Arabidopsis thaliana: one gene and its partners. The protein of the gene in region 4 interacts with the protein of the main gene of each other region in a pairwise test. Each region holds a gene or a part of one and is shown on either strand. Other genes may lie near its edges. The genes, in order: FIB, ATHB13, RING and WRKY17.

Region 1 (8,282 bases), on a different chromosome or scaffold from region 4:
AAATATTATAAACACTTGGTTAGATAATACAAATTTTTTTAAATGCTAACCTCATTTCTTCCTCTGCTAACTCTCTTCTTATCCTTTTGAACATCCAGACTTTCTTCAAACAAAATATTGAAATTTGGTGTAGAGGATCGTGGAGTAGGAGACTTATCCTTGAAAAGATAACAGAATGTAAAATTATAAAAAGGATACTAATCATTTTTGTAAGACTTTTAGAGATATAAGATTACTGTACTTTTGATGATTCTTCAGCTACTTCATCACCAACATAACGTTGGGTGTTTTCATCATCACCCAGATAGCTCCCATACTGTGTGTTTGGCTCTCGGATTGAATCTTCAAATGATTCATTGTCATTCTGCAACAAAATAAAAACAATAAGTCAATCATTAATATAATTAGTAGACCTTTAAAATAGCTTGTAAAGATTTTCAATTACCTTTGCTTTTCTTTCTAGTCCTCCTTCTTCTTCAGCCTGCGAAAAAAAGAGTACACTGTAAAGGTTTACTACGTATTTAACCTTTAAAATACATTGTAAAACCTTTCCTTTCAAATAGCTTTTAAAGAAACATTTACAATTACCTCTGGTTGTCTTTCTAGTCCTTCATCTTCTTGTTTTCTTTCTTCATCTTCTTCAGATCTCTGATTATTCTTTTCCTCCATTCTAATGTCCAAAATCCTCTCAATCAGCTCGACTCTCTTGTTAAGATCTTCAAGGATTGTCAAAATCCTGTCAAGTTTCTCGCTATCAGATATTTTGTTATTGATTTTGTTTTGACCTACTTCTTCAAGGGCAGCACAAACATCAACGCATCTTGTATTCCATTCAGTTTTCTTCAATCTGTAGCCCATATTAACAAGTCCCAAAATATGTTGGAATTCTGTGTCGTCTGTGTGGAATCAGGAACTAAAGACTTGAATTCTTCTGGGTTTCCAATAATTGTATTCACCTCCATCTGCGAAGATACAATAACATTACAAATCTTGAGAAAGCAAAACTTCAAATCTCAAAACCATTTTAAGAATTTTGTAAATAGACAAAAGCTTACCTCAGAAACATCATTTACAAGGTTTACGACCTTGAAAAACTCTGGAGTAGTAGTGCTTTTCCACTTCAATATCAATGGATATTCAGATTGGAATTCCTTATCTCTAACTCCATATGCTGCACCAAATGCTGGAACTGCGCTCAACACCCATCTTGTTAGCGCGAGTCCAAATCCTCTCAAATCATATTTCTCTTTTGCCCAAGTTTTCTCGTCCATTCTCAGAATTGAATTTGATAGAACACTGAATGCTTCTTTACCCAACGGTTGGGCTGTGTACATCTCAAAATCAGAAGCATGCTGCAATCTTGGCAAACGTATCTTCTCTTTTCCATATGGTGTCAAAAGAATTCCTTCAGTCAACACTACTGCAGCAAGACACAACTTTTCTTCATCTTCAACAGCAGGTTCACCTTCCTTAGGTTTTAAAAACAATCGATCTTCGAGATCACCAAGAGTATAGGATCCTTCACTAGCCCAAAAGTATGGTTCTTTTACAGGATCTTTCCCCTTTCGTCGAAGTTCCCTATGAACAGGTTCACATTGAATTCCTGTAAGAACAAAAGACAGTTTAGAGACTATTATTACAGGTTTTATACTAAATACTTTAAAAACGATTGTAAATCATGTTTAACACTTTTAAAAGCTTTTAAAATCCCTTATAAATCATTCAATGTCACTTACTTATGCTTTAAAAACGATTGTAAACCATGCAGACACTTTTAAAATCCCTTGTAAATCATTCTATGACACTTACTTATGCTTTAAAAACAATTGTAAATCATGTTTAACCCTTCTAAAAGCTTTTAAAATCCCTTGTAAATCATTCTATTCAACTTACTTATGCTTAAAAAACGATTGTAAATCATGTTTAACCCCTTAGAAAAGGTTTTAAAATCCCTTGTAAATCATTCTATTCAACTTACTTATGCTTAAAAAACGATTGTAAATCATGTTTAACCCTTAGAAAAGATTTTAAAATCCCTTGTAAATTATTCTATCCCACTTACTTATGTTTTAAAATCGATTGTAAACCATGCAAACACTTCTAAAATCCCTTGTAAATCGTTTTAAGACACTTACTTATGCTTTTAAAATCCCATGTAAACGTGTTTAACACTTCTTTAAGCTTTTAAAATCCCTTGTAAATTATTCTATGTTAGTTACTTATGCCTAAAAACGGTTGTAAACCATGCATACCCTTTTTAAAATCCCTTGTAAATCATTATCTGCCACTAACTTATGCTTCTTAAATAATTGTTAATGAAGTAAACCCCTTTTAAAAGCTTTTAAAATCCCTTGTAAATTATCTATAACACTTACTTATGTTTTAAAAATGATTGTAAACTACGCAAACAGTTATGCAAATGCCTTGTAAATCATTCTACGACAGTTAATTAAGCTTTAAAAACGATTGTAAAACTTTATTACCTGTTGTGAGATAGAACTCTCTCAAGGAGAAACAGATAGGTTGAGAATCAACTCTAAACCAAAGAGTTGATCCTTTTGTTTTCACTCTCTGCTGCATGAGATAGTGAAAGATTTTCCCAGAAAATCTGATTCCCTTCTTAGCCTTCATTTTTGGTCCCAATTCAACTAGAAGACCAAGAAACGAACTTCTAATCTTCTGAAATAAACACTCGCCTAAAGCTTCCTCTACTTTACTAACTAAATTCCAATCCAAGTATTGTTGAACGGTTCCCAGTGCAATAGATTCCTCACCTTCTCTGTAGATCTGTTCAGGCAATGTAAGGATTTCACTCTCTGAATCCATCTGCAAAACATGTTATGAAACATCGTCAGATCTACTATAAAATCGACTATAAAATCGATTATAAAAACGGTTACCGTCGGATCTATCGATATCTCTGGGGATTGTTTGCGTCGTAGAGAAATGATCTGAATCCGTCAGCGAAGAACAGATTTATCGGAGAGGAAATTCGTCAGCGATTTTGGGGTTTCTCGGAGAGAAAATTTGTCGGCGATTTTGAGTGAAATCGGAGAGGAAATTCGTTGGCGATTTTGAGTGAAATCGGAGAGGAAATTCGTCGGCAATTTTGAGTGAAATCGGAGAGGAAATTCGCCGGCGATTTTGAGTGAAATCGGATAGGAAAATTCGTTGGCCAAAACGAAGAAGTTTGTGCCAAAACGAATTGTATTGTGAAACGAATGTGAAACCTAATCATTCAGTAAGGGTAAGACAGTCATTTGCCATATTAGAAAGGGTAGTTTTAAAAATGGCCTTCAGGAAAGGACATTTTTACAAAAGGTTATTAGAATAAGGGCAGTTTTGCAAATCTCCCAATTAAATATTAAAGTATTTTGAATCAATGGCATTTTTGTAATTAATCTAAACCGGAAGGATATTTTTTGGTTTATATTTTATTTCTCTTTCCTATTTACGTAAATAACATATTTTTATGTATAAATTCTTAATATTCTGTTTATCCATGTATATATTTTTAACTCACCCTATAGTTTTCTAAGTAATTTAAGTATTTTGGTTACATTTGGTTATATTTTGGTAAAATATAACTAATATATTTTTGGATAAACTAATCAGGCATCTCGGTTAGATTTAGGTATAGATGAGTAAAAAACTCGAACTCGACCTGAACCCAAAAATATTTTGAGTATTTTTGATTATTTTTCAATTCTTACTAAAATAACTAAATCGATCCAAACTCAAACCAAAACCGAACCAAAATTTTAGAATACATGAATGGTTTTTAACTTCATACCTAAATAGATCCGATACTCAAAAAAAAAAAGAACCGAACAGATATGAGTACCCGAATATCTACACCTGCCCAGTATTATTATTATTATTTTTTTTGAACAAACACCGGTACTATTATTTTACCAGCTAATTTTTCTCCCTTTAAGAACGTTTTGGACCTATTGGTCTATTGGATACAAAACTATTGTATTCATTTTAAATTTTTAATGGGTCTTCTTTGTTAATAAAGGCCCATTAAATATACTATCCAGGCCCATTTAGTCCAACTACTTATTACACTGTTGATTAATCGCCGTTTAGATATTTTGCATTGGAGAGAATCTTCACCGTTCAGAAAACTGAAGATCGAAGATCACCAAAACCGGCCAAAAAGTATAGTACACGTCCGAAGATTCTAGATCCATCATGCCATTTGCATTGCATGGCCTAACTCTCGTAGAAAACCCAAACAAATTCTCCCCCACACAAATAATGGGACAAAAACCAAATTAAACCAAATTGTTTCCCTATTGAAGAAAATAAAATCTTCCACAAATTTTATGAATTTTTCATAAAGTCGGCAACTTCACACGAGTCCAGGTCGATTCTTAAAACAATGATCTTTAACCATCCACGTGTCAAAATCCCACCTTAGCTTACCTCATTTGTTCTATTCCAAATACCTATTCTATCCCTTGGATCTTGACTTATATGTTCATAAGAAAGTGTACCAGATAAGGGTATATACGTCATTTACAGTCCAGCTCAACGGTTATAAAATCCTAATTCGTGAGGTTTCTCTGAAGAACAAACACAAAAATGGCGACGGTACCATTGTTCACCCAGTTTCCCTGCAAAACCCTAAATCCAAGCTCATCAAACACTAAACACCAATCGAAATCTCCGATCCTACTACCGATTAACTCAATAAATCGGCGATCGGAGATTGGAGTCTCTGTTCATCGGCCAGATTTCAAAATCCGAGCGACGGACATCGACGACGAATGGGGTCAAGATGGAGTGGAGAGAGTATTTGCCTCATCTTCAACCGTATCGGTAGCAGATAAAGCAATCGAATCCGTGGAGGAGACGGAGAGGCTAAAGAGATCACTAGCGGATTCGTTGTACGGAACAGATCGAGGTTTAAGCGTATCGAGTGATACGAGAGCTGAGATCAGCGAGCTCATCACACAGCTCGAGTCTAAGAACCCTACTCCAGCTCCTAACGAAGCTCTGTTTCTCCTCAACGGCAAATGGATCCTCGCGTAAGTACTTTTAGTTCTGATACTCTCCTAGGCACGGCATGTAATATTAGTTTTGTCCCAAACATTACTCAAACCGGTGATCTCTAAGCTTCGTCTAGGATCTTTACCAATTAAGTTAATGATACTTTAAACTTACCGGTGGAAGTTTAATTTCCCGGTGAAAACTGTTTAGTTCCGTTATGAATGATTTGATTTTGATAGTGAAAAGCAAGTTGTGGTTACAAAGAAGATTTAATTATGAATTTGGATTATGATTCTGTGTGTAGTTATGAGCCTTCGTTTATTTTTAGCCGTTATTGTTATGAATCAAGAACTTAGTTTTTAAGTGTTTATCTCGTGAAGCTACACGTCGTTCGTGGGGTTGTTCCCATTGCTCTCACGAAGAATTGAACCGTTGGTTAAAGTGGATGAGATCTCACAAACCATTGATTCCGATAGCTTCACCGTTCAAAACTCTGTCCGGTTCGCTGGTCCGTTTTCCACAACGTCGTTTAGCACCAACGCTAAGTTTGAAATCCGAAGTCCTAAACGTGTCCAGGTAAATCAAGAATCATCCCCTAAAACCACAAATGGCAAATGCTAATGTTACATAACCTAATTGTTTTTTTTGTTTTGTTTGTTGTAGATTAAGTTCGAGCAAGGTGTTATAGGGACTCCTCAGCTAACGGATTCGATTGAAATACCGGAATCCGTGGAGGTTCTTGGTCAGAAAATCGATCTCAATCCCATTAAAGGTTTACTTACATCAGTCCAAGACACTGCTTCTTCAGTGGCTAGAACCATTTCAAACCAACCACCATTGAAGTTTTCTCTGCCTAGTGACAACACGCAGTCGTGGCTGCTCACAACTTATCTCGACAAGGACCTTCGGATCTCGAGAGGCGATGGTGGAAGCGTCTATGTGCTCATCAAAGAAGGAAGCTCTCTCTTAAACCCTTAAATCATCATAACTCTCATCACATCCATAGTAACATATATACAAGTATAGACCCATCTGTCTATGTTTACTAGTGTTGTAACTGTTATATAGCTTCTTTACCTGTTGGAGAGTTATAAACTTATAATGGATGTTACTCTTGGTATACTGTACTACAATACATATACATAACTACATACTTGAACAGGCCAGTTATGGGTTTGCAACAGCAACACTTAGCATTGGTTCAAATTTGGTATACTAGGAGGGTTTGCATTCTGTATGGCATTCGGTTTTCCGGTTTAGTTTCAGTTCGAACTTTTGACTCGGATTGGATCAGGTTGTCAGCATTTTGGTCTGGTTTGAGTTTACAAAGGGGATACCAAATTGAAACCAAAATTTGTATCTAGTTCTGTAATTTTAATTTCAGTTATTTTTGGTTTATGAATGGTGGTAAATCTATTTATTACTTAGAAAACCGGTTTGTTACAAACCAGGTATCTTACACAAACATTTGAAAGAAACAACTGATCTTTGTTCACTCTTAGCTACGAAACAAATCAGCACAAACCTCGTAAAAGATCTCGAGAATGGCAGACCGATATTCGCGAGGATTCATCGATAGATAGTACTCCAAGAGGCTTCTAAGTTCATCTGCTTCTTTGATCTTGTTTGCTACAATCATCTCAACCATAGAGTCTCTAAAATCCTTTCTTGGATCAAAAGAACATTTCTCCATCGCCATCATGACAATGAACTTAGTGCTACTGATACTACCCTCACTTCTTCTTCTTCTTCTTCTCATCTTTTGTTGTCTTATCTTCTCTTGATGTGTGGCTTCTTGTGTCTCTCTGATCATCTGCTCTAGCTTCTCCTGAACCATGTAGTGTGCTAGACTAGAGAGCGAACCGTGATGGTCTGAAAATCTTGAACTCTTGTCTGCTTCCACCGAGGAAGAAGAAGAAATGCTGAGTCTTGCTTTGTTGCTGCAACACAAAGCTCTGCAGACTCTTGCTTCTTTTGTTTGGTGTTGTGATTGTTTGTTATGCTTCTCTGCTTTTTCTTCTGCTCTGTTTATGAGTTTCATGTTGAAAGTTAAGTCACATTATAATCAGGTTTTGAGGATTTTAGATGTTTGTAAACGCAAATAGAAAAGAGTTCTAATTAAAACATTTATGTGTAAATTGAAAATGTGGGGCTTGTTCATCATGATTATGTCTTGATCATAATATAATTAAAACCTCAATAAACGATATATTTTTAAATTTTAGTCTCGCAACAAGTTTCCAACGTTATTCATTTGTGTAAACTAATATTTATTTATTTATATTCTTCAAAATCATTATCTAGTATCTACGATTTGTGTTCATAATGCAATACAAAGTCGTACACTTAGATATATAAGGTTAGATTGAACTTTCATTTAATTTTTCGAATTGATAAATTTTCTACAAGATCAAAGAAAAGAGTGTGTTCAGTGAAATTTGATTCATTATTTCAAGTCATTGAAACAATGATAAATCGACCACTATCACTTAACTAATATATAATTAAGGCTTATTGGAAAAAAAAGATGTTGTAGTTTCTGAAAAATATATGTCAAATCAAAAGTAGGAATATAATAGAGAACATTAGGTCTGATTGAAGATAACTGTTTTTTTTTTTTTTTTTTGAAGAAAGGAGTACTAAATGCATGTATTTGTGTCGTGTTTTAGAAATATAGGGGTGATTAATTTGATTATGATGTGATGTAGACCATCTTCATGTCTACTTTAGTTTAGTTGTTGTTGTTGAAGATGAGATATCTAAACTTTAAAGTTTTTGGTAATGTGGAAAAAGTGATCAATATGTAATAGTTGACATCATCTGTCCCAACTAAAAAATAGAAAGAGAAAAAAATGAAAACCACTGATATCGATTTTTGTTTTAACATTCTCTCAAAGGACATACTAAATTTTAAATAGATCATAATTGCAATGTGCCATACATGATTTCGCTAGAACCTATATATGATGTAATTTCATCATTCATGCAATGCAGTTCAATAGTAAAAGCTGGTTAAAATCGTTAAATATAAATGATAGATTAAGAGATAACGTATGGTTGTGTCTTGGAGACAAGACATGCTTTATCCTGCTGGCTTGTACAAATACCTCATTTTTGCTTTGGGGTTTAGAAAAATTTATAATCTATTGTTCTTTTATTGGTAAATATATATTGAGAACAGTTGGATCATGAAAGATAGAAAAAAAAGTAAGTAAAAACAATTGGACTTGAACCAGATAACAATTATACGATGTAGAAAAATTAAAACCATGATAAGAAATTGT
Region 2 (8,043 bases), on a different chromosome or scaffold from region 4:
GACATATTGTGACTTCTTGAAAACTACGTTGTTGGACTTTCCTGACTTTCATGTTGAGGTTTTGGGCGAGACATTTCCATTTGGATAAACAGTAATCGAAACATATGCTTTTATAGTGTCTGAAATAGATACGTCAAAGTTGGGTGATCATACCGAAAAAAAAAAACGACTATACAAGTTTTCCAAATTCGCTAGCAACTTGTAAGACTAGCCTTTAAATTCACATATCTAATCATACGCTATATTTCACTTCTTGATGATAAGAGTGCACATATATCGCGTCTAGTCAATCTTGTGAAGAATGGATCATAACAGTAAACAATATGAAGTATGGATAAAATCATACAACGTCGCTCAATCACCGCAAGTGATCTTTAGATTGATTGACCGTGCGATCTGTACCACACCGAATGTAATATAATGTATGAAATTTTTTTTTGTTAAGTTCTTCGAATGGATTAAAATGTATCTAGATGTTTACATCTTTTATGTTTTGCCAATAAATATAATATATACTTGAGTACTAAAAATAATTAGTTGAAATTAACAATTTTTACTCGTCTTCTAAAAACCAGATTGTTTATAACTTCTTTAATTTCTCTTTCCTTACCAAAAAAAAAAATAACTTTTTGGGTCATTCACATTCCATACAAAATAAAAATTAAATCATACTCATTCAATAAATATTCGGGTATTTGTGAAGCTATATGTATGCATGGATAAGTAAAAGTACTTTGATACAAAAGTTTTGATTGCAGAACGGCACGATGTGATGCGTGAAATGTCAGTTAGAGACGGATAAGTAGTCTCAAAGTAATGAATAGTAGTCTAATCGAAAGTGAAAATGAACGTTAAAATGTTAATAATTATGTGGTTGATGATGTTAGAGTAAACATCATCGATGAATACGGCACAAGGGATGTTGGGAAGAGAAATTAAGAAAATAATAAAATAAAATAAAAAGAAAGATTGATTATGGAAAGGAATGGAAGAGGAAAGGAGGGAGAGACAAGATAGAACAGCTCTTATGTGGGGTTAATCAAATAGTAGTTTTGTTTGGTTTTTTCCTTAACCTAAGTACCCCACGCACCATCTTTATACGTCTGTCTATGCATGCATATACACACGCACATATGCATTCATGTGTACATAAGCTATCTAACATATAACAGGTCTGTTATATATATGAACTTTAAATAAATGGAAAACAACAAAAGGGTTTTAAGAAATTGCATCATTAGATTTTATATTTGTAACTCTCTAATATAATGCATTTGGAATTTTTTGCATCACTTCCATTTGATATGATACCAATCAATCGGCCAACATAGCACGAGAAACCCTTCTCTCTTAGCGAGAATTTTACTTTTGTGATACTTATTGATTATTCCTATTATTGTTATTTTGCTAATTGTATAACTTTTTTGTAATTGGTCAATCAATATTACTCTACATATATACATATAGCATTACCAGTAGTCAATTGATTTCTTGTTTCGTTTTGGTATCTGTCTTGCGGTTGATAGGTTAGGTCAAAGCTAATAGGTTTGATGAGATCAGATTTGATGTACCATGATTCTCATAGACATGATCTAGAATTTCAAATACATGTTACAAGATTGTTGATCATGGACATACGTATAATCCATGCTTTTGTATATATTGTAAGTCTATTTACAGTTTCAATATAATTTTTTCGTTTAAACGCTATTTTGAGATGGTGATTGCTTTTCCATTCTATTTCAGACCAAATTTCAATTATGTTTGGACCGATCATACTTTTTAGACTTATTGAACTTTAATTTCATACAAAAATGATGAATTCTAAATAAAAACGAAGTAACAATACATATAGAGAAATTCTACACTACTATATTTTGTTAGTTTAATTTCTACTTTTTCACCTTTTTAGCGATAGACTTTAGCAGTTACCTATAAAGATTAACTATATACGTTCCATATTCTGAACTAAAAGATTAAACTAAGGTTCTGAATGAAGACCGTATTAGATAAGGTGGGTGGTGTAAGACGGACACCTAAAATAATATATTTTCTTATGAACTCTGATGTTATTCTGACTGCCTTGATCTTTCCAATTCACCCGCAATCGTTTTTATTTGAAGAATGAAAACGAACAAATTTAAAGTAACTATATATCCGACTAAAAAAAAAATCACAGTTATACTATGGTTTACAAGTGCAGCTATTATCTTCTTCTTTTGTTAAATATTTCAATCTTCCTTTTTCACATCAAAATAATCAAAACTAGCATCATAGAACATCTGAAAATCAATAATATCACTTCTCTCTTCTTCCCACAAAAAATAAAATAAAATTATGTACAATCCCTAGATCCACAGGTCTAGGTCAATCCATGTAGACACAATACGATTATTTGATGGGTCTATATATAGTCCATACGTACTAGCGTGATTAAATAGGATCAACATTGGACCCATTCACTATCCAGCTTCGTCCCTACCCCAATATCACTACATCATTATATATATGAAATTAATTTACATCAATAGAAGTATGAAAGGCGTTAGTTAGCTACTTATTACATATGTTCTCAGCCTATGCAAATGATTTAGCGAAAAATAAATTGTAAATTAAGTTCTTTAGAAATAAATTTAGATGATAAAAAGAGAGAGAGAGACACAACTTTGATAGTTATGATTTAAGATGAGAATTGGACTTACAAAAAAAAGGACAAATCTAATAAAAGAAAAAGTTATTAGATAAAATTTAAAGGACAAGTATGATGAGTGAGAGAGAACACCTCTCTGCATGTCTCTCCCAAGGGGAAAAAGAAGAGTCCTTTCTCTTCTTACCATTTTGATTATCATCTCTTCATTTTCCACTTTGTACGCAAGCTAAACCCCCTTGTAATTTGCTTCCTTTTTTCATTTTCAACAATATTTAGGATTATGCCAATTTGATATGAGTAATAACACAACGAAAACACTAAGATTACATGTTTTGGTCAATTCTACGATTTTTAATCTGCAATTACATTTATTTATTTTTTAACCCCATTTTTTTTGTTCTATCTCCAACTAAAAGTAGATATTACACCTCAATATCATATTCAAAGTTCAAACTGTGTCTTTTGTTGTGGTCTGATGCAAATTTTATTTATAGATGAATCTCAGCGCACCACACAATAATCCACTATCCTAAAGACTAAAGAGTAAGTATATACCAGGGTAAATTAAATTGGATCCCACTTTTACTTGGAAGCCAACAATGGTTAAAAAAATATCTATCTATAAACGATTGTCGAAAATGAAGATAAAATTGGAGTTAATAATTATATATACTTTGGCTTAACGTAAATGAAGTTTAAGCTTGTATTTGATCGTGTTATTTTTATTTTTTTTAACGAGAGAATCAATTGAGTGCGTCTCTTTCTCTTCTCAGCTCATATGTCCTCTCTCTCTCTCTCTCAGCCTTTCTATATAAAACGAAATAAAGAAGAAATTAAATACCAGAAGTGGTATAGTCTAGGCCGATACATTTCACTATCTCTCTCTCTTTTGTTTTTCCTCTTCTTCTTTTTTTCCATTTGATTTCAAACTCTCACACAAAGAGCTTCAGATTTATAAGACCATGATAATGGCTTTAAGACAAAGATTGGCAAGAAGAAAAAACTAAAGAGAAACGACCAAAATCTCAAGCAAACAGTACTAACTTCTGTTGCAAAACAGAAGAAGATGTCTTGTAATAATGGAATGTCTTTTTTCCCTTCAAATTTCATGATCCAAACCTCTTACGAAGATGATCATCCTCATCAATCTCCATCTCTTGCTCCTCTTCTTCCTTCTTGCTCTCTACCTCAAGATCTCCATGGTATATATACATAAACTTCCACACACATCTCCTCTGTTTTCTCTCTATCTCTTTCTAATGCTCTGTTCTGTTCTGTTTCAGGATTTGCTTCGTTTCTAGGTAAGAGATCTCCAATGGAAGGGTGTTGTGATTTAGAAACAGGGAACAATATGAATGGAGAAGAGGATTATTCAGATGATGGGTCACAAATGGGAGAGAAGAAGAGGAGATTGAACATGGAACAAGTGAAGACACTAGAGAAGAACTTTGAGCTTGGAAACAAACTTGAACCAGAGAGGAAAATGCAGCTAGCTCGTGCCTTAGGTTTGCAACCAAGACAGATCGCGATTTGGTTTCAAAATCGAAGAGCTCGTTGGAAAACAAAGCAGCTAGAGAAAGATTATGATACTCTTAAACGACAGTTTGATACACTTAAAGCTGAAAATGATCTTCTTCAAACTCATAATCAGAAACTCCAAGCTGAGGTAATTAATCTCATAAATTAACAAAAAAAATCAATATGTGTTATTTTTTTTTGGGTTAATGATCAATAATTACAGTTATTTTCCATCTAAAGGATGATTTTTTTCTTTTTAAAAAAGGTTAAAAATTATATTTCTGGTTTATAATTATTTGGATCAGGAGTTGCTTTCAGGTAGGGTTAAAAAACTGGACATGATTCATGACTTTTCAGACATCATTATCTCTTTTTTTCTTCACTCTTGTCTGGAAAGAGATCTGAAAACAATAGTTTCTTTATGCTTATCACATTGTACAGTAACTCTGTTTATGTTTAAAATTTTGTCTTTAATTACGCAGATAATGGGATTAAAAAACAGAGAACAAACAGAATCAATAAATCTAAACAAAGAAACTGAAGGATCTTGCAGTAACAGAAGTGATAACAGTTCAGATAATCTCAGACTAGATATCTCAACTGCGCCGCCATCAAACGACAGTACATTAACCGGTGGCCACCCACCGCCACCACAGACAGTTGGTCGACACTTCTTCCCACCGTCGCCAGCCACCGCAACGACAACTACTACAACAATGCAGTTCTTTCAAAACTCATCTTCAGGACAGAGTATGGTTAAAGAAGAGAATAGTATCAGTAACATGTTCTGTGCAATGGATGACCATTCTGGTTTTTGGCCATGGCTTGATCAGCAACAGTACAATTGAAATTGGTCTACCTGTTTTTTTTGTTTTTGTTTTTAAAAAAATTTATATTTTTTTTTTTTGTATTTGGAATTTTGATCAGAAGAACCCATGCATGTTTTCAAAAACTGGAATCTATATCATTAGCTCACTTTGAAATCTGCAACCAAACACCACTGAGGTTTTTTGTTTACTTTTTGAGTAAATGAGATGTAAAAAAATGGGTAATATCCATTATATTATATAAAAAATAATATCATTATGGCCCAACATTTTTCTGTATGGAGAAAAATAAAATAAATTGTATATTATATAGTTTAGTCGTGGGTACTGGCACCATGTGGTCGTAGTCGTCATATTCAGAAGTGGGAAGAAATAAATGGAATAGCACAAATGAAAAGGACATTTTCCATGAAACAAATCATTATTTTTGTTTAAATCCATGAAATAAATTCTGCATATGTCATGATTTGGTCGAGCGGGTTAAAAGGACCAAAGAAAAATGATGGGACAAAATCTAAACGAGTGAAATTTGTAATCACGAGACCTTACAAAAGACGTACGATATTTAAATCTGACGATGCCGCAGACCATCAATTTCATAACCCTTCTCTTATTCTACAGTTACATTATTCATTTCACCGTGTGTGTCTTTTTTTTTTTTTTAAGAAAAAAAAATCTAACATCACTATCAGCAAATTATAGTTTGTTTTTATATTAAAAAAGACAGCAAATTAGAGTTTGGTTTGATGAAAACCTTTGTTGTCCGGTTTGATGACAATGCCATTCGTTCTCGCGCAGAAATATTGATGAGGTATCAAGTAACATATCATGCATTAAAATAATGTGTCACCGTGTAAAATAGTACTCATCTATCAATGACATATATTAAATGCATAGTCCCATTAGAAGTCTTGGTTCATCAACACAAAAATATTTTAAGAAATCAGATATCCTCAATTTCTTTAAGATAATATGGGATTTTAAGTAGAAGAGATTATAGATTTGATGAGAGTAAAAGAAGCAGCAAGAGACATTAGACGCACACAGATTCCAAGGGAGATAGAGGAAGAGGACAAAGAGAGTTGGAAGAAAGCAAGCAAACAATTTGGGGTTGGAAAGTTGTCACTCTCCTTTTTAATCGACTCTTCTCCTTTTTAACTCCTTTTCATCTTCCACATTCAAATGGCCGACACTTTTAAACTTTTGGAAATTTCTTAAAGAATTCGATGTTTCCTTTTGGTGATAAATTTGAAATCTCACTTACAATCTATGTTTATTAAAAAAAATATTGAACCAATCATTAGAAAAAATCAATTAAAATTTTAAAAGATGCTAGCGACAAAAGAATGCGACAAAATCTATAAATAAAAGTTGCTTAATACCCAAAGATGTGGAGAAACTAAGGCCAATGTTGGCTTCAACGATGTTGAACCAAAAAAATTGATCGCCATATATAAAAGCGGTTGTAGGCTAGAACACCGTTGATTTTTTCTTCTAAAGAACTAGTGGTGAATTGCCAACTTTTTAAAACCAGAGAACTGAAGTGTCGCCAGTTATAGAATCCTAAATTAGATTAAAATCAAAGGATATTTTAACTTTCATTAGATTTGAAAAATCAAAACAGTTAACATGTTCAAACCCCCATGTTGAAAATTATTGGTGTTAACCCAAAGGTCCATAAGAAAATATCTCGATACTCGGTGTTAACTAAAAAAAATACTGCAAATGATACTATGTAGCTCTAGTTCAACACGATCTCTCTAGTCTCTAAATGACTATAAGAATTCAAAACAAAACATATCAAACGAAATGCGTTGGTGCGACCCACTAGAATCACCCACTTCTTTCCTAAAGTACAATTTTCTTTTTAGCTAACCGTGTTTGGTTTGCTTTGCTTTTTTGGTTAATGGACCCTTTGTAAACTTGGATGCTTCAACTACACTTATATGCTCACTCTTATCACTTCCACGTAATATACTTATAAATTGTACAACTAGGAAATGACTTCTTGTGTGCATGTGTCTGTATGATAAAATCCTATATCATAGAATTGTACATGTGGTAAAACATTCCTTACGTTTGCTATCTAGTTATAAATGTTATTGGGTACGTATATTTTTGAACTTTTGTAGTTAAAAGCTTGTTGCCTGATTATTTCTTTTGGGATAGAATATGTCATAAGATTTCTATCCGTGCCGGTAAAAAACAAAAAAAAATCTATTAGTGGCGGACCCCAAAATTCGTTAAATACAACATAACTATTAATCCCTTTACTTTAAAATATAAGATGTTTAAGATAAAAATACAAATATTTAGATAGTTTTTTTAAAAAAAAAATATGATTTGTATTTAATAAAAACAAATCTAACCAATCATAAAAAATATTACAGCATATAAATAGTTAAAAATAATAAAAATATATTTAAATTTGTATAGAACCTTGCAAAACATCTTATAATATGAAACAAAATAAAAATGTCTCTTACATTTTGAAATAGAGAGAGTATTAATTAAAAAATAGTTATTAACTGAAATGTGAGTATCGAACATGGTTATAGTGGGTCAATACACCAAAATTTACAAGTTATGCTATAAGTTCTTTAAATTTAATAATTTATATCTTACCCCTACCTTGGTCCACTCATGATTTGAATACTTAAACATCACATATAGAAAATTATAAATATATCCTTATTAATTTTTTTTATAAGAAGTTGTTTAAACGATCGTAAATCCATACCATGAACTTTAACACACATTCCATATCCATACCATGTAGATGTTTGAAGTGGGAACTAGCTAGCCATATAAATATATCAGTTTCAAATATCTCTTTTAATCTTCATATTTCAAAGTTTCTATTGAAGTTGTAAATCTAGAGTACTTTATAATGAATGAATGGTGTGTGGACACAATTCAGAGGTCAAATCCATCAATTATGCTCAGAAGCGTAATTATATCGACACGACACTTATTCGTACAATCATCTTTAGTGGTTATATATTTTAGGAGTTCACAACGTTTTCTTATAGTCGAGAATCAAACTGA
Region 3 (7,424 bases), on a different chromosome or scaffold from region 4:
TATGTTTATAAAATAAAGCAATTGACGACACTAGCTATATACATGATTAGAGAATTCAATTCACACTAGTTGTTTGATTTTAAAAAGTTAGGAGTTTTCATCTTGTCACGTTTCCTTCATATATAGCATGAACTCGGCCACGTACGTCCACATCTATCTTGTTCGTTTGTCTAACTTACGAAATCAATATTAATTAGAAATCCACATATAGAATATAAATTGAAAATGAATTTGAAAACGTATAATGGGACAAATAAGTAGTCTATTCTAAAATGATAAAAAGCTCTGAACAAGTGATGATGTTAGGCTTAGTTTCTGACATTGGAGCAAAATCGATAATTAGACAAACGAATATGTCGACAAAATATATATACAAATGAAGTTGAGAAAGAAAAGACAACCGAAGTTGTCTTTTTCGACGAGTCTGGTTTATCCTCAAAGTTGTTCAGTACTGTTACTTTTAAGGAAAATAATCGTGGTTTGGTCTTCTAAATTGATTTTTCTTTTAATATCATATGTGGAAAAACTTCTATTACACCAAAAAATGTTGTTGAGTTCAAAATAGATATGATGTATCGGTAAAGAAAGACTGAACCGATATTTACACAATTCTCGGTTGTAAAAAGAGATTGAGATCGTCCACTTTAACGTAAGTATTAGGGGTGGGCGCAAGGCTAGTACTTGCTATTTTAGGGATACTTGTTACTCGACTTGCCTTGTACGAGTAATCAAATAAGTAATTGTATTTGGTTTATTGAAAACGAGTACTTACAATTTCAAGTATTTGCTAAAATATGATTGCCTTGCGAGTTACTTGCCTTGTCCTGTTACTTGCTACTTGCGAGTTACTTACATGTACTTACGAGTTACTACTTGATATTCACGAGTTATTTACAAGTATTTACGAGTTATTACTTGCTACTTGCGAATTACTTGCAAATAAATTACTTGCAAGTAACACTTTCGAATTACTTAAAATTACTTATTATTTTATTTATCATATTTTTTACTTATTTAAAATTTACTTTACTTCTAATATAGTTTTAAAATGTGTCTAACACTAAAACAATACAATATATGTATAGAAAATGGTAAAATAATGACGAGTATCGAGTCAAACGAGTCGAGTATTAGTTTTTTTTCATTACTTGTTACTTGATTTGTACTTGCAAGTATCTAAATTATACTACTTGTTACTTGCCTTGTTAAAAACGAGCATTTGTTTTTTCAAGGCGAATACGAATCAAGTAGCGAATATAAGACGAGTAACGAGTACTTATGTCTAGCCCTAATAAATATATATGTGTTTTTTCAATAACTATAACAAAAATAATCGATTAACTCTTTTGTGCTCAAGTTACTATGTAAAAATTGGTATGAACAACATTAGATACGCATCATGATAATGTTTGTTTAGTGGATAAAAAATCGATTAACAATAAAAAAAAATAGAGAGAGGCATGAAAACGAAAATAAGGAAAAGAAAAAGACTATTCGTTTGGTGTGGTCGACCTGTCCCACACCGAGGAAATCACACTTTTATGACAAGACCTACTTGTCCGTACTATATAACATTATCGAATGATTCCGATTTTCTCTTTCCTTTTTTTTTTCTTTAATACGGAAATTACTAATTAAAAATTAAAAAGCGACCAGACGACAATTCAAGAAGCAAACAAAATTGGTGGTACCGAAACAATAAATCTTTTTTATTTATTTCTAAACAATTATTAATTTATTGAAAATTTCACGAAGAAATGAAACAGAAAGTTTTTCTTGGTCCCACTTAGACGTGGCCTCAATCTTCACATCATGGCCCCACACGCTTCTCACGTGCAACTTAACCAGTTACGACAAAACAAAATTAAGAAACATATTAACTTTAGAAATGTATTTACAATGGTTAAATTATTGTTTTGTGCCATTTCGTTTAATACAATGCACCGCTACATGATCTTAAGATAGCTCACGGAAAATTTAGAAAAGTAAATCACAAGTCCCAAATATGCCACGGTGGAAGATGACATGGCAGATATAAAGCGGAGCTTTGCCACATTGAATAAAATTACGAGAGTAACTTTATAGTTTGTAAAATTAAAATCATGGGAATGGTTTAAATTTTAAATAAAATAAAACTGAAGAAATGAAGAGTATGCATATTTAATACTATCTTTTGATATGAAATTTAATTACAGTAATCACAAAATAAGGAAAAGTTAATAAGAAAAATATGGGTTGACTAAAGAGAGGTTAATTTGGAATCTTTTTACAGAAGAGAATACAGTGAACTAACATAAAAATTTTATTAGGAAAGACAGCTTTACACATTTTTAAAAATGCATTTAAGGAAAAAACAGCTTTGCACCTTTTTTTATAGGATTTGCATCTTTAAATTTTAGAAATAATACAAAAAAGGATGGACAAGAACATAAAATCTAATAGTTTTTTCAACAAAAGAAAAAATCGAATAGTTTATGCTAATATCATTAACATATTAGCAAAAAAAAATTTATTGATTTTATAATGGCTCTTTGACTAGTCAAGCTTGCATATGTTTATGTGGATGTTGCTAAGGAAACATGCATGAGTGCATCAATAAATAAGAAAGAAATATTACAAAAAAAAAACTTTTTACACGTCCCAATATTTGCAAACTTCAAGAAAGATAGTATATATTGTTGAATAAAAACTTAGTATATTTTATATTTCTCTAGATTATATTCCTTTTAAGTTCATAAAATTGGTTGTTTCTTTTTCTTTTTCCTTTTACAAAAATCAACTGTATTTTACTAACATTTAATTTACAAAAACTTTAATTACTAAACACAATTGGTAATATACCATGAAAGTCAATATCTAATTTGAATTCATAATTATTCTAAATATCTAAAATATTTAAATAGTAAAAGTAATAAATATGTATTTATAGAAAATTAAAAAAATATTGACTTTTTTCTCTCCCTTAAATAAAAGCCAATCCCATAGATTTCTTCACCAGTCGCCACAACTCCTCCCTCTTCTCTCTCTCTTTGTTTCAGAATCTCTAGGAGCTTTTTTCAACAACAATGGCTGTTCAAGCTCATCACATGAACATTTTCTCTCAGTTTATATCACCAAACAGGTAAAAATCTCATTTTTATATTCTTCTCACAAACAAACTTCCTCTGTTTTTATTTTCCTCTAATCTTTTTTATTTTTGTTATTTGCAGAGATTGTGTTAAATTTCAAGAAAACATGAACCACGGCGAGTTTGAGTTTACCGGCGGTGAAGTTCCGTTAATAACCGGAGAATCTTTCGCCGTTGAGCCTTTAGCTGCGAAAGCCAACTTCAACAAAGCAGAAAGTGGTCTCAGTTACAATTTCACTGTTCCTCCTCTGTCTACAAAACGCCAGCGAGATTTTCAATTCTCAGACTCAAACGCTCCGGTTAAACGGAGGTCCGTAGCGTTTGACTCATCATCACCGTCGTTGATAAACGTTGAACTCGTATCTCAGATTCAAAACCAACAACAGTCAGAGATCGATAGGTTCGTAGCTCAGCAAACGGAGAAGCTAAGAATAGAGATTGAAGCAAGGCAACAAACGCAAACGCGGATGTTAGCGTCTGCGGTTCAAAACGTTATAGCCAAGAAACTAAAAGAGAAAGACGATGAAATCGTACGGATTCGAAACCTAAACTGGGTTTTACAAGAGAGGGTGAAGAGTCTTTACGTCGAAAATCAGATTTGGCGTGATATCGCTCAAACCAACGAAGCAAACGCTAATACTCTTCGAACAAACCTAGACCAAGTTCTTGCTCAACTCGAAACGTTTCCAACCGCTTCAGCCGTTGTAGAAGACGATGCGGAATCGAGTTGTGGAAGTTGTTGCGGTGATGGTGGTGGTGAAGCGGTAACGGCGGTTGGTGGTGGTTGTAAACGGTGCGGTGAGAGAGAAGCGAGTGTGTTGGTGTTACCATGTCGTCATTTGTGTTTGTGTACGGTTTGTGGTGGTTCGGCTTTGTTACGGACTTGTCCGGTTTGCGATATGGTCATGAACGCTAGTGTGCATGTTAACATGTCTTCTTGACCATCTTTTTTTTTTGTTCGTTACAATTTAATTTATATTTTTTTTGTTTCCTTAGGATTATATTCGCAAAAGAAATAGCAAATTGATTCTTTTCTTTTTGTAAGTACATATAAATTAGTTTTTGGTTAACTCTTGATTTTCTTACGACTTAAATGGAATCCAAGACTGAAAATTGCAAAAAAGAAAGACGAAATAATTTGTCGAAGAGAATTTAAAGGCTCCTCCTCTCATTATGTGTGGGAAAAAAAGAAAGAATAAATCATATAAATGAATTTAAAGTGATTCGAAAATGTTTTGAAAAGTAAATATTCCAGAGTTCTTTTTAAGTTGCACCGTTGTTTGGTTGCTTATTCTCAAAGTCGATCACATGAGTTTGAATTATCTACCACCTTTTAAAGATTATCATAGCGTCGATATAAATTGAAAAAGGTATAAAAATGGTCTATGGATATATACTATTGCAATTTGGAAGTATCCTTTATCTTTCCAACCCCGCAACTATATTCAACCAGAAGAATCATACTTCGCTATCGAAACTAAAATAAATTATGATAAAAGAAAAAGAAATAGTCTGAATTCGATTGTCTCAACGACATTTTCAGTTCATAGTCATTATAGTTGTCGTGTAATAAATATTTCATATTCGGATCATGTCATGTGCAGTGCATGTCTAGACAAAATAAAATACCCCCACTAAAATGGATTTTTAAAATTATATCCTATATTAATTCTATAAACGACGAAATTAGAACGATGAATACGATGTGTGAATTCACGAGTTACGATGATTGCGTCCAAGAAACGTTACCATGTCTCTATCCAATAATTTAGTTTAATTTATGTCTTAGAATTATTTGGATCAAATGGCACGAAACGAAATAGTGGCGAAAATGAAAATGGTACGACTCTGCGATGATTCGTACAGAAATTAATTAAAGAGAGAGTTTGAATTCACATTTTTCCATGTCTTCGTTCTTACCCATACTTATTTTTTTCCTTTTGGCCATGCCCCTACATTACGTAGTTACTTACCCTCGCCCAAAGTTTTATGTTATATTCACCTAACCCTATCTTTTAATTTGTTTATACTTTATACGAGTTTGGACAAGGGAATAAGAAAAAATAAATTAGTTAGTGATTGTTGCAAAGATAATGTTTGTGACTAATTGGAGCTTTGTCTAAAAAATTTACTTCCAACAATTCATAAGTATATTTGGATTGTATTCTTTTTTTTTTTCTGATGCGAAATACTCTTATAATTTTAGATATCAGAAAAAATCATGGTTGTTATTATTTGTGGGGACTATAAAAATCTATAAAGCGTTTCTAAAGTCTTAGATATTATTTTAAAGGATAGTTATCGTTTATTTTAGAATAATATCAAACATTATCGTCGTACCATTACCAAACCTAGCATGAATTAGAAGATCCGATTATCCGAATAACAACCAAATACTAGAAGAAGTGATTCCGTAAAAGGGCTGGCTTCTCAAATGGGCTGTTCGGATACTTCCATACACTATCTATTATTTTTTGTCGGTCCATACACTATCTATTAGGCTTTAGATTTCTTAATTATTAGTACTCTAGATTTGAGAGATGGAAAAATATTACACGGCAAGATACCTTGGAGAGAAAAAAGGAACATAGGAATACTATGACATCGTGTGACCAATCCCATTACAAATCTACCACAAGACATGTATAATGTGATAGATTCCATAAGAAAAAAAAACTAGAAAGACAAGAGGAGGCAATCATACGAGAAGATCGATATTACAAAGCACCCGACAACAACATATCAAAAGAATCAGGTAAAACCAGTTTCAAAAATGATCACATACAGAATTTTCGGAAAATTGTGAAATTACTTTCGTAGCCATGAAGTTAATGGCTAGAGTGACTAGACCCGTAACATTACCATATATCATTTGAACTGAAATTTGTTTGTTCTGAGGATTATTTTTCAAGATATCAAAACGAAGATAAGTGGCTGCACAAACTTTTTTTAGCGAATATATCGTTATGTTATCGGGTCTAGCACTCTATCCACTGATTTCATGACCACGAGCCTCTATATTGCGCCGACTTCTTAAATGGGTTTCAATAGCAAATTTCTTTACATTAATTGCTCATCTAATCACTGATCTTGAGAAAAGTCAAAAATACTTATCGTAATTTACATCCAACATCTATAAAAATTGAGTATCGGCCAATTAGTGATTCATCATACGTAGAAACATAGACGCAAACACAGTGCTACAATCGATAAGAAAACTAAATGACGAATCGTAGAAAAGAAAACTTAATTTTGTCTTATAATAGGGACGAAAGAGCCATTTCAACCTTGGAACTAACCTCGTCTATTTAAGATATGTTGATAAGAATTTGTATAATTGTACATTAGTTCTTAGTTAATATATATAATATATATGTATATTTTTCACATGGCGATTTCGGAGATGAAAATTCAAGATCCTAAATTATTTATAGACAGGATATCCGAAGAAAAAAACAATAGAATCTCAGGACAAGACATGTAAAGTGAATGGGTGATATTCTTCCAAAATCGTAGGTTCTCTTCTTCCTTGGCCCTTCCTCATGCTCCATTCATTTTGCAAAATATTTTTGGAAAGAATTATTGAATTTTAATGAAAGTCCTACTTTCATAGTAAAGATTTGTTAATTTTGGCAGTACTTTATATGTAACTATTATTACATGACATTCGAACTCTCGAGAGGGGTTTGAAAACAGAAGCATCTTACGTGTATTCCAACCGTCCACAAGATATATGAATAAAAAAGAATCATATTTCTCCATCCGACTAAAAATATTGCATAGTCATTATTGTTGTCGTGCAATAAATATATTAGATTGGGTCATATCATGTGCGTTGCATGTATAGACAAAACGATGAATACGACGATGTGATGAATTCACGAGTTACAATGAACGCGTCCAAGAAACGATTACCATGTCTCAATCCAGTATCTTATTTATTTTCCCAAATCAAATTTAGATTAGAAACAAGTCAATAACAATAATAATAGATATTTTAGTTTGAGTTTATCAAAACATTTAGTTGGATTTGGATGAAAATGTAACGGTACATAAAGAGTGGCTATAATTTGTTGGATTTTGGTTTTGTTTATGAACTAGCACACTACAAAAAAAATCATGCAAATGATGAAATCTTACAACTCTTAGAACGGAAATTTTGATAGGACTTTTCTACCGTAAACCTACATTTTGACGAAAACATAAGTCAGAGAAAATATCCTACAAAAGAAAACAGTGAGAAGAGCCATGGAAATATCCTAGCTATATGACTGCATGAGTATGAAGTATGAACAAA
Region 4 (8,143 bases):
GCAACAAAAAAATTGTTTTACAGCAAATGCTTTATAGTAATCAAGAGGTGGAATTCGAAATCTGAGATAGCACTTTGTAACCTAAGATAAAAATTAGTGTTACGGGTTTGAAGTCAATAGTAAAAACATCTTTCGTAAGATCATATTCTTGGCGTTCGTATAGTGGTGAGACTGTTTCGTACACTTTTGTTAATAACTCCTATGAATCTCCAAGGCAGAATGGAGGAATTTCACAAAAAGAAAAATCTCAATATCATTTCTGATGAAATTGATGGTCAGACAAATAAAAACAAATTTCCGACCGGTAAAAAATTTAATTCTCTAACTTTTAAATTTTTTTAAACGTAATCGAAAATTCTTTAAAAAAATATTAAGTTAATTTTTTTATTTTAAAAATATAATCTGAGTTTATTAAAAAATTAATCATTATCTCATAGATATTAATACATTTACCAATAATTTATCTCGTGGAGGTTACATTGACTTCTACAAACTATTCAAATCGATAACTCTAATTCGCTAAGTAATCCCCAAATCTTTTCTCAGTATCTTTGGCATAAATAAAGCCAAATCTTCTCGAGTGAATAGCAATAATTATACATCATGGCTTATATATTGTATTTTTCTGATAACAAATGTGCATTATTTCTATCATCCACTAACTAATAATTAAAAATTCAATATTGACCGTACTATTATAAAAAAAAAAAACAATGGTTGGAAGTTTGAAATACGTAAACAACAAAAAAACAAAAAAAAATAAAACTTCGTTCGTTAGTACCGTATGAATTCATAGATACAACATATACAAAATAAGTATTTTACCCAACATGTGTCTTCTTTCACTGGTTTGATCTCATTCGTTTTGCATGGGCTAACAAAACAATTATTTCAAATACGCGAAGATTATTATTTCTATGCGACCATTTTATAGAAAAGATAATTTAGATAAGATATAAAGGAGACATTTTTAGAGGAGATAACATTGAAATATATAGTATAATATATTTTTAGAGATTCATAAATTATAAATTTAGAAAAGGACATTAAAATTTGATATAGAAAAGGAATTTAAAAGTAAGTAAAAGTTTACAAAATCAGAAATGAAAAAATAAAATGCTTTTAAAAAAAATGTAGACGTGCACGACAATCATATATATTAGTCGGTTAGGTCAACGATTCCCATGTCGCTAATTTATAATGCATTCCGTTGACAAATATTTAAAAATGTTTCAATTATACATCTTGAGGTCTGTTTTTGCACACATAACACGTCATATATCATTGACAAAGAAAACACGTCGTAATTTTCTTTTTCTTTTTCTTTCATGTAGTCTTCTTGGCTTAAAAGAATTCAGCTAAGTAAGTATGGTTGATATTTTCTTCTACAAGTGATAAAACTTTGGAATTTTTGAATAAGTATAATTACAAGAAAACACTGCATATAACAACTACAAGAAAACACTGCATATACCAAAATTATCGAAACATGTATATTCCGACAAACTGAAATCACCGGAAAACGGTGGTGTATTGAAACAAAGAGTTGTTTTAACTGAAGTTTGAAAGTAAACAAAAGATTAAAAAGTAATTTATAGTAATGTTAATATTTACTCATGTTTCTGCTTTGGTGATTAGTAATAAATCTTCTAAAATCTATATGCCATTTTATAAATGCGATTAAAAATTTACCAATTAAACCTTATTTAGAAAAATGTAGAGAAAACTTCAAATTATCTCCTCAAGTAGGATTAGATCGAGCTGCAAATTGGCTCTTTTTATTCATTTAATTTCCTCCATTCCTAACTGTATTGGTATTGTTTACTTTATTTCTATAAGCAACAAAAAAAAAAGAATCTTGTGGACAGGTGACAATTTATGAGTCAGCCAGAATTGCCACGTGTCGGAAGATCAGTTGCCGTGGTAAAAGGTGTTTTTTAGATTCTCAAAAAAAAAGTAGTTAAAGAGAATAATATCAAAGAGTCAACTCCACAGTTCACAGATCCACCGTTGGATCTAACTTTTGGATTATCAACGGCCCAGATAATAGTTAACCGGAATCACTCGGTTACCGAGGTAGTCAATAGTTCTGTGTTTTAAAAAGAAATGCGTCCATGTGATCACTTTTATTTTATTTGTAGTCAGCTTTTGTTTTCCTACTTTGTCGTTTTTCTTTATCGCTGTTCTCAACTAAAGACTTGTAGACTATACTAATAAGATATAGTCAACGATTGTCGCTGTTATTATAGCCTTTAATCTCTATTAATGATTGTTAATTGTTCCACAATCTGTGTAGATTAATTAGGTAAAATTAAAAGTCAAGAAAAGATTGTTTTCAATTTACTAGTTTTCCAGTCAAGACGTTTTCTAGAAGGCTATGAGGTAAGAAAAAAAAAATATATATTAGGTGCAAAGTTAATATGGGAGTCAAATATTATTTTCAAATAATTATTATTGTCAATGCACTGCAAAATTAGTAATAATTCTAGAAAGAAATTGAAATAATAAAAATATGCTGCAAACACGAGTTTGGTATGTGTGCACCATATAATATTGACAAGTTGTAGTGTTGGTTGAAGCTAAAAATAACACAAAAACATAAAAAGAACATGAATAACGCCTAAAACTTAACACGAATAAAATAAAAAAACATAAAATATATTATCAAAAGTCAAAATCACAAAAGAAATTAATACCATTTTACAATTAGCTGAAAATTTATTCTATCAAAATCCAGTCCTATTAAAGAAAAATATGTGATTTGAGATGAAATTAATATTACATATTTTGATTTGGTTCAAGAATAAATTATGGATTTTGGTTAAAGACCTTCTAATATTCCAAAGAAACAAAAAAAAATCAGCCCAATTGTTCATACAAATAAAAACAATTCATTACCTTTAATTTTAAATTTATTGACTTGAACTTGAAGACATAAGATACCTAATAAAAGAAAAAATAGATATGAGACTTTAAAAAAGCTTTATGATTTTCTTTAGACACCATCCTTTAATGTTTTTTATTTGACTTTTTGTTTCTTTGAAATTCCTTTACCACCATTTTCCCCAAATTCAAGTTTACGCACAATGATTCCTTTATTTTAAAGACACGATTATAAATTCTTGCTTTGCACAAAAGAAGACCCTACATATCTCACAACTCAAGGAGACCAAACTTTGATTACTTTATTCCATAGAAATCTTCAACTCAATCTCAGCCGTTAGATCTAAAGCACCGATTTGACTAAACTCCATCTTAAACCTACTCAACCGGTCACTCGGTCACACCCATAACCCCATATATCACGCCAACGCCATTCTTTTTTCTTCCAGTTTCGCTCTCTCATTCATCAAAAAAAACTTGCACATCTTCTCAGATCTTCAAGTTTCTCCTCTGGTTTCTCATCATGACCGTTGATATTATGCGTTTACCTAAGATGGAAGATCAAACGGCTATACAAGAAGCTGCATCACAAGGCTTAAAAAGCATGGAACACTTGATTCGTGTCCTCTCTAACCGTCCCGAAGAACGTAACGTTGATTGCTCTGAGATCACTGATTTCACAGTTTCTAAGTTCAAGAAAGTTATCTCTCTTCTTAACCGTTCCGGTCACGCCCGGTTTAGACGTGGTCCGGTTCATTCCCCTCCTTCCTCCTCCGTTCCTCCACCGGTGAAAGTGACAACTCCGGCTCCCACTCAGATCTCTGCTCCAGCACCGGTTAGCTTCGTTCAGGCAAATCAACAAAGCGTGACGTTAGATTTCACTAGACCGAGCGTTTTTGGCGCTAAAACCAAGAGCTCGGAGGTTGTTGAGTTTGCTAAAGAGAGCTTTAGCGTATCTTCTAACTCTTCTTTCATGTCTTCTGCGATCACCGGTGATGGAAGTGTCTCTAAAGGCTCTTCGATCTTTCTTGCTCCGGCTCCAGCGGTGCCAGTGACTTCCTCCGGGAAACCGCCGCTTTCTGGTCTTCCTTACAGGAAGAGATGCTTTGAACATGACCACTCTGAAGGCTTTTCCGGCAAGATCTCTGGCTCCGGCAACGGCAAGTGCCATTGCAAGAAAAGGTATTGTTATTACTCCACAATAAATTAATCATTTGTTTGACTAGCCTAGTAGTAGTTAATTGTTTGGTTCGATACGGTCTAAACCAATCGCTCACGGACTCAGTGAAAATATATCACGAATTCAGATTTCAAAATTCTTTTTTTGCCTCGAATTTGTCAATCATGAACAAGTCTACTAGTTAAATTAACTAGTCTCAGTAAAAAATAAAGAATAAAAATCCGGGTTTAATACTTTGTAGACCGGTTTGGTACTATCTAAACCAATCGGTCAATGTATTTAGTGAAAGTCAACGACAGTAACTTAAACCAAAGTGCACGCCTGACAAGGACAAGTTAGTGGGTGCTGTCGTTTTGTATAGGGAAAGTTTTTACGTTTTAAAAGTCTTTGTCTGCCCGTTGACTTTTGCTAACCTGATGCATGTTCACGTTAGTCGTGTCAGCGCACGTTAAATCATTTCACTAATTACAATGTTTTATTATTTAATTAACAGCCGAAAAAATCGGATGAAGAGAACCGTGAGAGTACCGGCGGTAAGTGCAAAGATCGCCGATATACCACCAGACGAATATTCATGGAGAAAGTATGGACAAAAACCGATCAAAGGCTCACCACATCCACGGTAACTATCGTACACCATCGCTATCCACCGTTGATTTATTTGTGAAACATTGGAGATCTAACGGTTGTGATTTGTTTTTGTTGATTTCAGGGGTTATTACAAGTGTAGTACATTTAGAGGATGTCCAGCGAGGAAACACGTGGAAAGAGCTTTGGATGATTCAACGATGTTGATTGTGACGTACGAAGGAGAGCACCGTCATCACCAGTCCACGATGCAGGAGCATGTAACTCCTAGCGTGAGTGGTTTGGTGTTTGGTTCGGCTTGAAGAATTAATTAGTTTGGTAGTTTTGTAATATTTTGAGAAATAGAGGGGTTGGTTTTGTAATTTTTTTTCTATAACAAAATTAGTTTTAGATTTTTTTTTAGTAGTCTTTTGAATGGATTTTAATCTTACTACCGAGAAAGAAAAAATTCTTACTACATTTTCATAATTTCTTGTTTGATATATTTAGTGGTGTCATGTAAGAAAATGATGTTTAGCAAAGTAATTGGTATATAAATGTGTAGGCATATGTATTTAATGATATGGTTCGTAAAGTTACCATTACTCTGTTTGATCTAGTTATGATTTGTGATGGTTGATTTAGGGGAAAAATGTCATTTAATCCCCCAACTTTCAAAAAATGGCCATTTTATACATCAATTTCATATGTGGCCGTTTAAAACATGAACTAAACGTTGACTAATTTTTAAAACATGATCTTTCGTTGACCAGGCCAAAATAGACATGCCGTTATCAGTCATTAACGGAACTTCTAACGTCCGTTATCATTCGTTAACTTTATTAGTCAAGTTTCAAATTGTGGCCATTTTAAACATCAACTTCTTATGTGGCTATTTAAAACATGAATTAAACGTTGAATACCATTTAAAACATGAAAAATTCGTTGACCAGGCCAAAATAGACATGTCTTTATCAGTAGAACCTAGAAACCCGTTAATGACTGTTAATCTGTCCAAAATAACGTCGTTCAAGAATAATCGAAAGAACATAAAGATTTTTTCCATATGAAATCTCCATATCAAAAAGTTTTAAGCAGAACCCAAGAACATAGTTTGATAAAGAGATAATCGCAGTGCCAGTAATTGGAAGCAAATAAAGGTGTTTTCGTTTATATATTTGTTTTAAATTTTAAAAGGAATCATGGAAGCAAATTGAAGACTCATTATAAGATTGTTCGTCTTGTTTGAGCGGTTGTAAAAATAGATTTGGGGAAGTAGGGTTTCATTTAGAAAACAATCCTGATTTTCTTTTGATTACTCTCAAAACAAAGTCGTTTTAGGGATACTAATAGAGTCGTTAACAAGTGATAATGAATGTTATAAGTTCTTTTAATGAATGATGACAACATGTTTATTTTGGCTTGGTCAACGAATTTCTCATGTTTTAAATGGTAATCAACGCTTAGTTCATGTTTAAAATGGCCACATATAAAGTCGATGTTTAAAATGACCACAATTTATAACTTGACTAATAAAGTTGTTAACGGATGATAACGGACGTTAGAAGTTCCGTTAATGACTGATAATGGCATGTCTTTTTTGGCCTGGTCAACGAATAATCATGTTTTAAAAGTTAGTCAACTTTTAGTTCATGTTTTAAACGGCCGCATACGAAATTGATGTATAAAATGGCCATTTTTTAAAAGTTAGGGGATTAATTGACATTTTTCCCGTTGATTTAATGGAGGGTTAGACTTTTGGAATGGGGTTGTTAATGCAATGTTTGACTATTATGTAAGTTTATAGAAAGTCAAAAAGAGATTTCAATGAGTTGTTGGGAGATATTAGATGTGGAGGTTGAACAATATGAATTAATGCGGATTTGAGGGTCAACGAAATCATTATGATGTTGGAAGACAAATAATTTTTGGAACAATATTAAGGAACATTTGCGCTATGGAACATAAGTTCTCACTAAAGGTATGACACATATTTGCATTTGTTTATGTGTATTTCAAAGTTTTGATTAATATGTCATACTTGGTCATAATTGAATACTTTTTGCAGTGTTTGTTTATGAGTATTTTGAAGTTTTGTTCTATTGGATGTTTTGGATATGATATTGCCCCTCCAGCTTCGGATCAGATTCCTTTTCAAATCGATTTTGTGCTTGTGGTTGTTACTAGAAATTAAGACGATTGAGATCTTCACATATCTAATGCTACTAGTGTTTATAAAGTGTTGTTACTTGGTTGATAATTTGTTGATTGTGGCTTAAAAAGGTCTTATCTATGGGAGAAGGATATTGAATTCTGTCGTAATTTTGAGAAGATGGGAGAAAGAGGTAAAACATCTGACATAACTTAATTTGTTTAGTTTCTCATACGATTTATACAATTTCAGTTGAACTATTTTGTGTCCATTTAGCATAGAACACATGTTTAAAAACGAATTAATGTAGATTAGACACCTATTTATATGGATAGTTCCTTGTTCGTTTGATTTTAAGATATATTTTTATATATTTAAACGAATTTACGTATGGTTTGAGTTTATAAATAGGAATTAAGGTTTATTGTTTTACATTTAAATAAAATACGTATTGGTTTGGGTTCATAAGGTAGTTAGGGTTTGATGTTATACATTTAAACAGAATTACCTATCAGTTTGAGTTTATAAGATAAGGATAAGGGTTAGTATTATTCATTTAAACCAAATTATAAATCAGTTTGAGTTTAGAAGGTAGGATTAAGTATTTTGAAATGAATTCTTGGAAATGGTGTTAGCGTCATAATAATTAGCATAGCATTTTTTTTTTTAATATCTGAAAGTTCAAGCAAGAAGGTCTTACATCTTCTAGAGGCGGGATCCACAACAAATTATTAAATTCATCATATTTGGAAAACGGATTCTTCTCAACGGGCGTCGAACCCAGTTGGGAAATTTACCACTTTATTCATATATAAGCATCCATCAACCTAATCCATTTCTTATTTAACAATTGTTTGCCAGTCATGCGTTAAGTTTGTTGCTATAGTTAAATCTAAAACCTTACACTCTAAATTTTTAAATAACATTGTCTATATTCATCTATGTCGTCGATATGTTTAGATGGTTGATAGTGAAAAATCATAGTCTTTTAAGTATTTATGGACGTGGTCTACTGGATAAGTTGATTTAGACATTGCGAAGCAAAGCATCAGAGCCACCACCTCACAATCACTATGACGCAGCCACCGTATAGAAGGCAACAGCGATGGAGCCACCACATCGATCGAAACCGCCGACGGGTTTCAGAATCTGGTCCAACACATTTCTCGTGGCGTATATTTTCGTTGGATGTCGAGGCTGAGAAGGTGATCTCGAATCTCTTTTCGACGCCGTCAAATGTCAAAGCCATTGTGTTGAGGAAAACAAAGAGAGTGAGAAACAAATAGGGAGAGAAAATGATTACATATTGTTATAGTATTAATTTATTATATAGAATTAAATGAGTACCCAAATAGGTTACT

Evidence for each region.
Region 1: the proteins of WRKY17 (region 4) and FIB interact in a two-hybrid assay, tested with the Arabidopsis thaliana proteins (one large-scale study listed by BioGRID).
Region 2: the proteins of WRKY17 (region 4) and ATHB13 interact in a two-hybrid assay, tested with the Arabidopsis thaliana proteins (one large-scale study listed by BioGRID).
Region 3: the proteins of WRKY17 (region 4) and RING interact in a two-hybrid assay, tested with the Arabidopsis thaliana proteins (one large-scale study listed by BioGRID).

What each region holds. Positions count from the first base shown.
Region 1 is NC_003075.7:1,927,571-1,935,852, forward strand, and holds FIB (fibrillin), read left to right. Parts: upstream 1-4,312; 5' UTR 4,313-4,590; coding exon 4,591-5,036; intron 5,037-5,378; coding exon 5,379-5,574; intron 5,575-5,661; coding exon 5,662-5,976; 3' UTR 5,977-6,380; downstream 6,381-8,282. Other genes in the region: AT4G04025 (transcription repressor), read right to left, coding at 6,439-6,453, 6,524-7,039. UniProt on the Arabidopsis thaliana protein: Probably involved in light/cold stress-related jasmonate (JA) biosynthesis. Contributes to the protection of photosystem II (PSII) against light stress.
Region 2 is NC_003070.9:26,255,450-26,263,492, forward strand, and holds ATHB13 (Homeobox-leucine zipper protein family), read left to right. Parts: upstream 1-3,338; 5' UTR 3,339-3,716; coding exon 3,717-3,852; intron 3,853-3,933; coding exon 3,934-4,316; intron 4,317-4,650; coding exon 4,651-5,016; 3' UTR 5,017-5,332; downstream 5,333-8,043. UniProt on the Arabidopsis thaliana protein: Probable transcription factor that may act in the sucrose-signaling pathway.
Region 3 is NC_003075.7:10,710,277-10,717,700, reverse strand, and holds RING (SBP (S-ribonuclease binding protein) family protein), read left to right. Parts: upstream 1-2,955; 5' UTR 2,956-3,065; coding exon 3,066-3,121; intron 3,122-3,209; coding exon 3,210-4,068; 3' UTR 4,069-4,291; downstream 4,292-7,424.
Region 4 is NC_003071.7:10,434,486-10,442,628, reverse strand, and holds WRKY17 (WRKY DNA-binding protein 17), read left to right. Parts: upstream 1-3,159; 5' UTR 3,160-3,406; coding exon 3,407-4,065; intron 4,066-4,556; coding exon 4,557-4,685; intron 4,686-4,775; coding exon 4,776-4,953; 3' UTR 4,954-5,276; downstream 5,277-8,143.